3 linked regions of the Oryzias latipes genome follow. The protein of the gene in region 1 interacts with the protein of each later gene in a pairwise test. Links are inferred from orthologs where the notes say so. Each region holds a gene or a part of one and is shown in the gene's direction. Other genes may lie near its edges.

Region 1 (3,653 bases):
AGAGTGACAGTTCAGGTAAGACGAGACTGTTCCGGCAAAAGCCTCCGTCCTGGAAAAATAAGCCTCTGAGTGGAAAAACCTGGAGCCGAATTCTCCGCAGGTCCGTCTGCTAAACACGTTCTGCTCAAATAAACAGGCAGAGCCAAGAGCCACATCTGCACTCGTCACCTCCAAAGGGCCGTCAGCTGACGCGGCGCCCGGCTGCAAGCGTGAAGCAGACGGCCACATGATAACAATGAGGGCTCATCTGACTGCCGGCGTGATCGAAAACCCCATCCCAGGAATGACTTCCTGTCACGGACCGTAAACAGGAAACGCCCCCAAAAAAACCTGAAAACAACTGAAGGAGAGATTTCAAAATAATGAACTGAGGTTTGGGATAAATTTAAGAGATGACTAAATATTAGATATTAAATAAATAAAAATTATATTTTCAAAAAGTTCACTCTGAATTATTTCAGGCTAAAAATCATTTTTAATTAAAACATTAAAAAAAATTTGTTTTTTTTAACTAAAAACTACTTCAGACTAATTTCTTCTTTGCAACTCAAAATGAGTATATAAGATAATTAGGATAAAATATAAAGATTACTTTGTGATCAACCAAAAAATAAACAAGAGAAATGTTTAACTCCTGAATTTGTGGGTCAGAGCTTCGTCTCTTTGGGCTCAGAGAACCTCTGTGGGGATCAGCTGAGCGGTTCCGCTGTAGTCGCAGACAGAACCGGAGCGGATTCATGTCAGGGTGTTTAGGGATGTTTTTTCCGCTGGTCTTCGTGGTCCTGAAGCTTTGCAGACGACACGTTTCTTTGATTCTTTCAACCTTCATTGGTCACTACAAAGGTTCTGATTTTCTGTGAGCATCCAGACTGAAACCACTGGACATTTCATCCAGAAGAGTATAATCAAAGCTTTTCACTGTGCCTGCTGTCAAAGAGGCTTTTTAAAGACAAATCCATGGATCTCCTGTAACCACTTTATTTTTTATTGACACCGTAAATGTTTGTGACTGAGATCTTTGTTCCTGAATGTAGTAGAAGTTAACTCACAACTGTTGACAGCAGTGGAAGTAATCTGGTTTCTATCCTATACCATCATTTATTCTGCAGGAAGTCCAGATGAAAGTCAGAAGGAGCCGGCATGACAGTTTTTTTGTGTTTAGTCTTCAATCGCTTTGAGTGTTGCGATCCCGTTTATGGGTCGGCCTTCCTGATCCCTTTTCCAGTTCTACGGGCTCTGAATCCCACCGCCGCGCTTCTCCCCACGCCGATGGTCAGAGCGGGCTGCTGACTCAGGCAGCTGTCTAAATATCAGAACCCTTCGCACGAGACCCTGCTCACATCGGGTTTCACCGTCCGGGCCAGAAACCGGAGTGAAACCTGAATTTAGATGCAGCAGAACCTGAGAAGTCCCTTCACGTTGAACCCATTTCACCCGTTTGTTGGTGTTTCCTGCCGTGAAGCGGCGGCGTGAGCGGATGAGTCGGTGGTATTTAGTTTCAGGGAAACTGCCCCTCTTTCCCCCTTTTTTTGGGGGGGGGGGCTCGGGCCTCGCAGAGGGAGGGCAGCTCAGCCAAGTTTATGGAGCTGTCAAGGGAGTGGTGGCGCTTTTAAAAAGTTACCAGATTTTTTTGTGGAACAATAAAAGGTGCTTGAAGTCTTACTTTGCGGAGGCATCGTCGTAAAAGAGCAGCAGGAAAGTGTCCGATGCCTGAAAAAACAAGTCTGAGAAGAAAAGCCGTTTGTCCTGGAAAAAGCAGGAGAAAAGCTCGGAGTCGTGTGTGAAGAGCTTCCCTCACGTCCCCAAACGGCATGCCCCGTCTGGGTTTCCTATGTTTTTCTCAAATTATTCCGGCTTTTTTTGTGGCAAGATGAAAGTTGGAGCAGGGACCTAATTGCTGTGGTGTAGCGGCTGCGCCATAAAAACCTTCTGCTGGTTGTAACTCCAGCCCTGCTCGGCGGCTGCGTTACGCTCCGGATTTTCCTTATTTTTTTTTTTTTTTGGTCTTTTGAGGTGGTGTCTGAGGGAATCGGGGAGAGCAGAAGTTTCAGAGATGGAGTCAAGGTCAAAGGTCACCAGAATGCCAGCGGCAGGCCGGGAAGTCACGTGTCTAGTGTCGGAACATCTCAGGAGGAGGACTGCATCTCAGAGACAGCAGAGAAGCTGCAGGTCCGACGGCAGGAGTAACGCACAGAACCGGACCGCAGATGAATTAGCCGGCAGTTGCTGCTGCCATCCACCACCGTCTGCACTTGAAGCTCATCCAGCAGACAAACCGCAGCTCACAACTGGAAGGTTCTGGAAGCCAAACGTGTTTTCTTTGGAAAGTTGTGGGAAATATCCACAACACAAAGCGTTTCTGCAGAGCTGGAGGGACCGCGACTCTCCAGCCTGAGTTGTGCACTTTTGTTGTTTGAAACGATTCCGCCTCCTGAAGGAGGATTTTCCTGACAACCAGTGAGTTTAATGAAATGAAAGCTGCAGATTCTTCAAATCAAATCCCTGTTGGGAGTGAGGGCCCGCCTGCAGCCGGGGGCCTCGCCGCAGGCCGCCGCCGCATGTGCTGCTGTCGCCCAGCCGCTGAAAGAATTCGGAAACACTGACAGGCCGCTCTCCCCGGTGCTTTTAGTTTGCCCCACTGTCCTGCACCTGCCCCCCAGCTCTGTAAATCTGCTCCCATACCAACTCGACCCTTTTCTGCTTTCAGAGTCCCAGGACGGGAACTACAAGTCTGACGGCAGCGGCAAACCCAGGAAGGAGCGGACGGCCTTCACCAAGGAGCAGATCCGCGAGCTGGAGGCCGAGTTCGCCCACCACAACTACCTAACCAGACTAAGGCGCTACGAGATCGCCGTCAACCTGGACCTGACTGAGAGACAAGTAAGTCGCAGCTTGGTCCCCCCGGGTTTCCCTCCATTAGCACATTAATGCCGTGTTGTGAAAACAGAGCTGGCCTCAGGACGACGACTGGCTCTCTGTAGCTCCGTCTGGGGGCTCCAGATGTGGCCACGGGACGGGGGCTCTCATGTTCCAGATGTTCCCTCGGGCGGAGGGAAGTTCTGTGGAGCTCGCACTTCCCAACACCAGAGCAGCAGACAATCGCTTCAGGGAAGGAAGCGGCCCACTACCTGTTGTTGTCGGGAAACCTTCTGCAGGAAAGGCAGAGGAAAATCCACTGCTCCCCAAAATATCACTTGAGCTTTTTTATGCTGCTTTTCAAATCCCAACCACTTTTGTGTTTTTATCCGATTTACTCTTAAAACATCCACAAAGAAAATGTCCCAAAATGGACTTAATTTGTGTTCTTAGATGTTTCTAACCTTTTTCTTCTCCTCTTTGTTGGCAGCAAACAAACATCAGAGACATTTTTCCTCCAAAGTAGATCCTTGAATCAAATTCTTCTATCGTTCCCAAAACTGCAGTTAACAGTCAAAACAAGCAGGTTGTGATGATTTTATCGGCATTTGTTTCCTGGAAACGGATCCAAGTCGACGCCGTTCTGACGGGTCTGTTATTTATGAATCTTTAGCTTCATTCATCAGAAACGCTTTAAGGATTATTTGAAGAATGAAGGTAAATTTGAGCTTTATATGATTTGAGATCATTTACACTTTTTAAAATTTCTCTTCTGGGTGAAATAACCCAGTGATTTT
Region 2 (3,753 bases), on another chromosome or scaffold:
TGTTTTATGCAAAGGATGCTCTGGTTGCAGTGAGACAGTCGTAATCCACATCTGGCCTCCCTTCTCGCCTGCTTAATGAATCACCGAGCGAAGAGAATAGTGTCGCTTATCACCCTGTGATGGAGTGCTAACAGCCCATCATCGGTTTGGTGTTGAGGGGCGCTATGGAGGCGCGTGAATCCCCCCCCCCCCCCCCCCCCCCGCCTTGCTAAGGCTGCGTAAGGTGGCTCACATGCTTTAACATAACAGCTGCAAGGCGCACTTTCATGCGCCAGAATAAACCCAAAACAGTCTCTGATGTTTTTATAATCATAGTATTGGTATGGGCTTATGAGTTCATAATGAACTTTGTCATAAATCAGTCAAAAAAGAAGACTAATGACACACAGACACACGCACACCAGGAGACTTATGGAAGTTGACCCGCTCCACACTCTGCTGGATACGTTTTCCAGACATGTTGCATTTTCTCATAATGTGAGGCTAACGTTGGCAGCAAACTCAACTTCTGGCACCTGCGCATGCCCAGGGATGCCTGATGAGTTGCGTAAATCATAAGGCTTCCTACAGCGTCCAGGAGCTTCACAGAAACCTTAAAACAGCAGAAAAAAACGGCAGAAGACGGATCTGTCTCAAAGAATCCCAAACATTTTCATTTGTTACTGTTAAATCACTTAGGCCTGAGCTCCAGTTGAAAAAATAAGGAGCGCATTCCTTACTGTACATGATCTGGAGATTCACTCTCTCGCTCGGCAGGAGCGCTCATAGAACTCCGCTTTCTGTGGGTGTCAGATGACTTTGGTGAGCTCTTCCACACAACCAACAAGTGTTCCTTCAGGTTTTATGGCTGCAGAGTGTGAAATCAAAGCAGAGCAGCCATAAATCTATGAGGAGACCGAACGACAATCTGCCCGATAGGCGAACATTTGGTCCTCATCATCATCACTCACATCAGGAATGAGGAATCCCCCGAAATCCAGGTTTACGCAGTACGAGTCATTTTCGTCAAAATTTAGAGATGATTGCTGAAACGCAAAACGATTCCTCAGCAGAGCTATTTGCATATTATAAAGTCTCACGGAGCTGTCCATTTCCTCTCCATCGCCCACCCCCACCCATCTTTCATCCCACCCTTCCCTCCTCCCTAACGGTGGCTGCTTCAGGCTGTCAGCGAGGCAGGCTATAAAACCGAGAGGGACGGCTCAGAGAGGAGCCTGCAGCTTTTGAGTAACTGCCTCCGCGCGGAAAACATCTACCCGACTCAAACTTTTGGATATTTTAAGGGAAACTCACACGTGGGGCCTCTAAACGCGCGGGAGTCATTGGTTTTTTGTTTGATCAAATCAGGCGTTTTCGGAGAACCTTTTCTGGAGATTTGGGATGCTGGTTCCCTGCGCGCTCCGCTCCCTGCTGTGCGTCCTGAGCTGCGCGTGGTGGCTTCACGCGGGACAAGCATCGCGGCTAAAGTCTCCAACTCTGCCCATCCAGTCGGAGAGAGAGCCGCTGGCTTCCAAAGAACTGGAAGGTAAAAGCCTCACACGTTCAGCAAAGCTGGTTGAAATGACGGCGACAGGTTGACGTCAAGCTTGAGCATAACCACCGGAGCTCCGGTGTGTTCTCTGGTCCGGTAATGGATCCGTTATATGACAGAAGCGAGTCCGGTTCTGTGGTCTTCAGCTCTGATTTTCTGATGATTCTCCACCAGCGTGTTTCCCAGCTGTCCCACATCACTGCTGAACAGCCAGACGGTTTAAGGTTTTAATTGACTGAACACACCTGATGCAGGTAATTAGCAGCAAACAGGACCCGGATGTTCGGAAAACATGCAGGATGACAGAATTCCAGGACCAGAGGAGAATGCATTAAACCAGATTTACATGGAATGACCTCAAGAGGGCAGCTGCGAGTGTTACGTATTTTGATGTTGGTGTTGAATGTGTTGTGCTGGCAGCGGGAGTCCAAAACATTTGTGGGGGGCCAGAGCTTTTGTTAAGGAGAATTAAACAGCTTTGACTGTGAAGAGGCAAAATATGAAATATAGATGCTTCATTGCTAATGTATTTTTTCTTTCTTTCTGTATTTCGTTGGTGATGGATTCAGCAGAAAGCATCCAAAAATTTGTCTTCTAAGAAGTTTTAGAGCAAAAATATATAACAGGATTCTCATGATGGTTGAGTATAACACGTCTGGAAACATCCGTCTTCAATCGCTTACTTTTTTAAACTGAACATTCTCCATGAGAACTTTTGTGTTCCTGACTTTTCAGAAGAAAACCTGACAGACGTCTCACTTATCTGTCCATCATCCATCCTCTGATGTGCAGCTAGTTTTGCCTGCAGTGAAAAACACAAACTGACTGAATCAGCTGTTTAGCATTTCTCCCTGTGTGGTGGTGGTGTTGTTGGTGGTGGTGGGGGGAGGGTGTTGATTTATGGATTTAACCAGGCACAAATCACTTTTCTGTTGGGGTGGCCATTGACTGTATACGAGAACTGGACTGAGTGACCGTTCCCCCCTGGCGTTCAAAACAACAGCTATTACAGTATTTTAACTTCTCAGAGTAACCATTCTTGTTCTGCTACATTTTTTTAACATGTTCTTGATAATTCTCTTTTTTTAGTGATATTTTTTTCTGTAGTTCAAGTTATTCAATTTACTAACTGACCAATCAGATGCCTCAATAAAAGTAGGTGGAGCCTGCTGCCCGCCTCATCCAAACGCTCAGAATGCATGACAGATTTTGTGTAGCCCGCTTTCAAGTGGTAGGGGTGTGGCCTTCCAACAAACTGTATTGCATAAAGTGATGACTAAATTGACTTGGTTGGGCTCTCACTCACCGCAGTTCTCTGAGAGGGTCAGGGGGTGGCCAATGAACCCCCCCCCCACACACACACACACACACAAACACACACTCCTGTGCATTTGGCAGACAATTCTCCTTGCTTTTGTGAGACTGTTGGTGTCTCATTGCAGCCTGTAAACGGGCATGGTCATGAATTTATTTTGTTTCTATACATGAAAACTGGGGCAGATGGTTGTTTCTAACTAAAGCCTGTGAGACAGAAACAAAAATCCCAAGTCTGCAAAAAATGACCCACAGATCAGAACATTTTCTCTATAAAAGCTCCTGGGCGCGCATGTTTTGGCTATAGAAAGCCGTAAACGTCTGCATCAGCGAGGGCCTTCAGGTGGGATTCATGTGTAAAAGTCCTTTCCCTTGTTGTGGTTTAAGGTAACAGTTCCCGCGCTTCAGAACAGCGGGAACTCCCTGTTTAACACAGCCTCACACTGTGCAGCTCAACGCTGGAAACTGTAATCAATTGAATTTCCATTACACGCACTGGCTCCTCCGAGATGATGCATTCCAGCAGGGAGAAGTGGCAGGCGGAGCGGACGGCGCTCAGCTTGGCTCCCTGTGACGGTTGCTGAACTGCTGAAGGCATGCAGCCGCTCTAATGAAGGCCTAATGTGAACCAGGCTGACAGCAGCAGCGAGCGGGACCGGCCTTCAAACCCCGTTTATGTCCCACGCACAGCTTACAGGCAGAAATAACTGTTATAGTCCTGCAGGACCTCACTGCTGCACACACTCATTATGCCTGCAGTATAGTAATAATGGCACTAAATGCTGTTTTGATCTGCTGTAACAGAACTCCTTAGCTTTCAGATCAGACCTGAGTGTTTTATGTCTATGGTTGCATTAAACATAATGAAAATGACAATTGCTGTTTTTCACACAAAAAGAGCTTCTTTT
Region 3 (3,029 bases), on another chromosome or scaffold:
AGGTTGCCGGAAGCATTCCTGAACTCTCAGATGGACCACCTCTTACGGACAACACTCACATGAGCTGCTCTGTGTTGCTTAGCAAACTCTACGATGACCTGAAGAGTGACAAAGAGAGGGAGAACTTTAACAAAATATGTGAAGAATACATTCAGTGAGCCAAACACATATTTCACTTTCCACTAACTTTTGGCTCTTTATTTAGTTTAAGCAAAAGTTATTCTTAAGTGTCTGAAACATTTTTCCTTTTTTGTGTGGTTAGGCAACATTTTAGCCAGTCTGCTCTAGATGCAAAGCTGCGCGCCATCCAAACGGTGTCTGTGCTCCTTCAAGGGCCAAGCGATGTGGGAAACCGAACTCTAGAAATGTCCGGAATGATGGATGCAGTGATCTCGCTCTGTGCCTCCAAAGATGTTACTCACCAGCAAATAGCAGTCGAAGCTCTCATACACGCGGCGGGCAAAGCCAAGAGGGCCTCCTTTATCACAGCCAATGGCGTGGCTCTTCTGAAAGACCTCTACAAGACCAGCGAGAATGACAGGATACGCGTGAGAGCCCTGGTGGTAAGTGCTTCATATAGAGGGAAGTAGTACTGCTTAGTGAAAGGAAGCTCTCCGCAGGCTAATCTTTTAAGGCGACTTTATTTATTTAGCAACTTTTTTGAACAATACGATCTCAAAATGCCTCAGAGATATCCATGGCAACCCAGCAATTCAAGTAATAAAAGAAAAATTCTTTGAGAAACGTCAAACTTGAAAGATGAAAGATGAAAGTGTTAAATTCAATACGATGAACACTATTATACGATACTAAATGTATTTAAAAGTACGTATAAGACTTTCTTACAGAGCTGGGTTTTAAGTTGACACGAAAAAAAACTGCGATGAATGCTTTATTTCTAAAACCATCAGGTTTGTTGGCATCAAAGTTGAGCTGCATTCAGGCTAAAAATTACCATCCCACTATTTATTTATAAACTTTGAGCAGCAAAGGCAGCCTCTTTTCTTGCGAGCGTTGTGGTCTCCTGGGTTTATACACCACCAGTGTGTTAGTCAAATATTTAGACCCTTCTCCTTAGAAACATTTAAGTTAAAAATAAGACTAGAAGAATCAATTCTTTGGTCCACACAGAACAGTAAACTCTTATTTTTCTTTGCAAACTTTGGCTTCCAGCTAATTGTTTTTTTTATGCTGAACCTTTACCCAGTGTATTATGTCAGGCAAGTGTTGTTGTTACAACCAGGAAGTGCGCCATCATTTATTTTTTGAACCCTTAGTTGAGGGGCTTTCCAAAAATAATTCAACCTATTAAAAATTCAAAAGTTTCAATCTATAATTCATTTAAAAAAATCTCAGTCTCTAAATGTTTAAAGCCACCTTTGTGGCATAAACGTGCTTCCACAGAGTTGTGCATTCCTCTGGTCACAGATAAAACTAATCATTTAATGTTATCGCAGGGTCTGTGCAAGCTTGGGTCAGCAGGAGGCACAGATTTCAGCATGAAGCAGTTTGCAGAAGGATCCACGGGCAAACTTGCCAAGCAGTGCAGGAAGTAGGTTTCCATGCTCTAATCCGAACCTGGAATTCAATTAAAAAAATGTGATCATTTCTGACTTGTTGACATGACTGCAGTGAAGTGATACAGACTTGGAGTTGGCCTCACTTTTCTCCTCTGTTAGGTGGCTGTGTAACGAGTCTCTACCTCCAACCTCCCGCCGCTGGTCTGTGGAAGGGCTCGCTTACCTGACTTTTGATGCTGATGTAAAGGAAGACTTGGTGGAGGACAAGCACGCTCTCACGGCCATGTTTGAACTGGCAAAGGTTTACCTGTTTATTTTATTAGTTTCTCTAAATAGTTACCAAACAGAAGAGAAGAAATCTAAAAATGAAACCTTGTTTTGGATGGTGGCTGAAAAATGTGTTGTTGTTGTTGTTTTTTTTGTGGTTGTGCAGTCTGAAGATAAGACTGTGCTCTTCGCTGTGGGCTCTACATTAGTGAACTGCACAAACAGCTATGAAGTAGAGAAACCAGACCCCCAGATGGTGGAGCTTGCCAAGTATGCAAAGCAGCATGTGCCTGAGGAGCACCCCAAAGTAGGATTCTTCATTTTTGTGTTGCCTTATTTTGTAGATCTGCCAGAAAAATCCATCCTTAATAATCAAATAGAATATGAATCGGACTTTGCAGGAGTTTTAATTGACTGTCCTTACCCTTTATGTGTCAGGATGCACCTTCTTATGTGGAGAAAAGGCTGGTTAAGCTCCTTGAAGCTGGAGTTGTATCTGCATTGGCCTGCATGGTTAAACAAGAGAGTCCTGCCCTCACTGAGGCTTGTAAAGAGTGTATTTCCAGGTAAGGAAGGAAAATGTGTGTTTGACCCCCCTCTCTGTTGCTTAACGTCACGTGTCCTTGGCAGGGTGTTCTTGGCTTTGGTAGAACGGCAGGAAGACAGGGGAACCGTGGTGGCCCAAGGTGGAGGGAAAGCTCTGATTCCACTCGCAACCGAAAACACAGATGCAGGAAAAGTCAAAGCTGCACAAGCCCTGGCAAAAATTGCCATCACATCCAATCCAGAGATTGCTTTTCCAGGAGAGAGGGTAAGAATGGGAGATAGTAATGCAAACAACTTTCTTTGAGATATTTATTTCACTTTGCAAACCTCATTTTTCCCCTCAGATCTATGAAGTCGTGCGTCCACTTGTGAGCCTTTTGAGCCTCAATTGCACCCTGCTGCAGAATTTTGAAGCACTAATGGCACTCACCAACCTGGCTGGCATCAGTGAAAGACTCAGGTTGGCCACTAGGGGGAAGTCTTCCCCTGTAAAACTGCTCATATCAGTTGGTTAAAAAATAGACACATTTATTCCCACGGTTTGTCGATCCAGGTATTTAAAGTATTAATTTATTGTGCGCGGTGAAGCAAGAAGTCCTGGGGACCCTGAAGCAGAACACCAATGGGGGACCTTTCTGTGTGGAGTTTCCATGTTCTCCACGTGCATGCATGGTTTTTCTCCGGGGATTCTGGCCT

The links.
Region 2: the proteins of meox2 (region 1) and chrd interact in binary tests that used the Homo sapiens proteins (3 or more experiments, as listed by UniProt). The two-hybrid records come from large-scale screens. The link is inferred for Oryzias latipes from reciprocal best matches to the Homo sapiens genes MEOX2 and CHRD.
Region 3: the proteins of meox2 (region 1) and unc45a interact in binary tests that used the Homo sapiens proteins (3 or more experiments, as listed by UniProt). The two-hybrid records come from large-scale screens. The link is inferred for Oryzias latipes from reciprocal best matches to the Homo sapiens genes MEOX2 and UNC45A.

What each region holds. Positions count from the first base shown.
Region 1 is NC_019874.2:31,200,282-31,203,934, reverse strand, and holds part of meox2 (homeobox protein MOX-2), read left to right. Parts: coding exon 1-15; intron 16-2,707; coding exon 2,708-2,880; intron 2,881-3,653. UniProt on the Homo sapiens protein: Mesodermal transcription factor that plays a key role in somitogenesis and somitogenesis and limb muscle differentiation. Required during limb development for normal appendicular muscle formation and for the normal regulation of myogenic genes.
Region 2 is NC_019871.2:18,974,188-18,977,940, reverse strand, and holds the start of chrd (chordin), read left to right. Parts: upstream 1-1,011; 5' UTR 1,012-1,380; coding exon 1,381-1,525; intron 1,526-3,753. UniProt on the Homo sapiens protein: Dorsalizing factor. Key developmental protein that dorsalizes early vertebrate embryonic tissues by binding to ventralizing TGF-beta family bone morphogenetic proteins (BMPs) and sequestering them in latent complexes.
Region 3 is NC_019864.2:22,119,238-22,122,266, reverse strand, and holds part of unc45a (protein unc-45 homolog A), read left to right. Parts: coding exon 1-154; intron 155-262; coding exon 263-563; intron 564-1,457; coding exon 1,458-1,552; intron 1,553-1,679; coding exon 1,680-1,821; intron 1,822-1,953; coding exon 1,954-2,094; intron 2,095-2,225; coding exon 2,226-2,353; intron 2,354-2,417; coding exon 2,418-2,598; intron 2,599-2,677; coding exon 2,678-2,793; intron 2,794-3,029.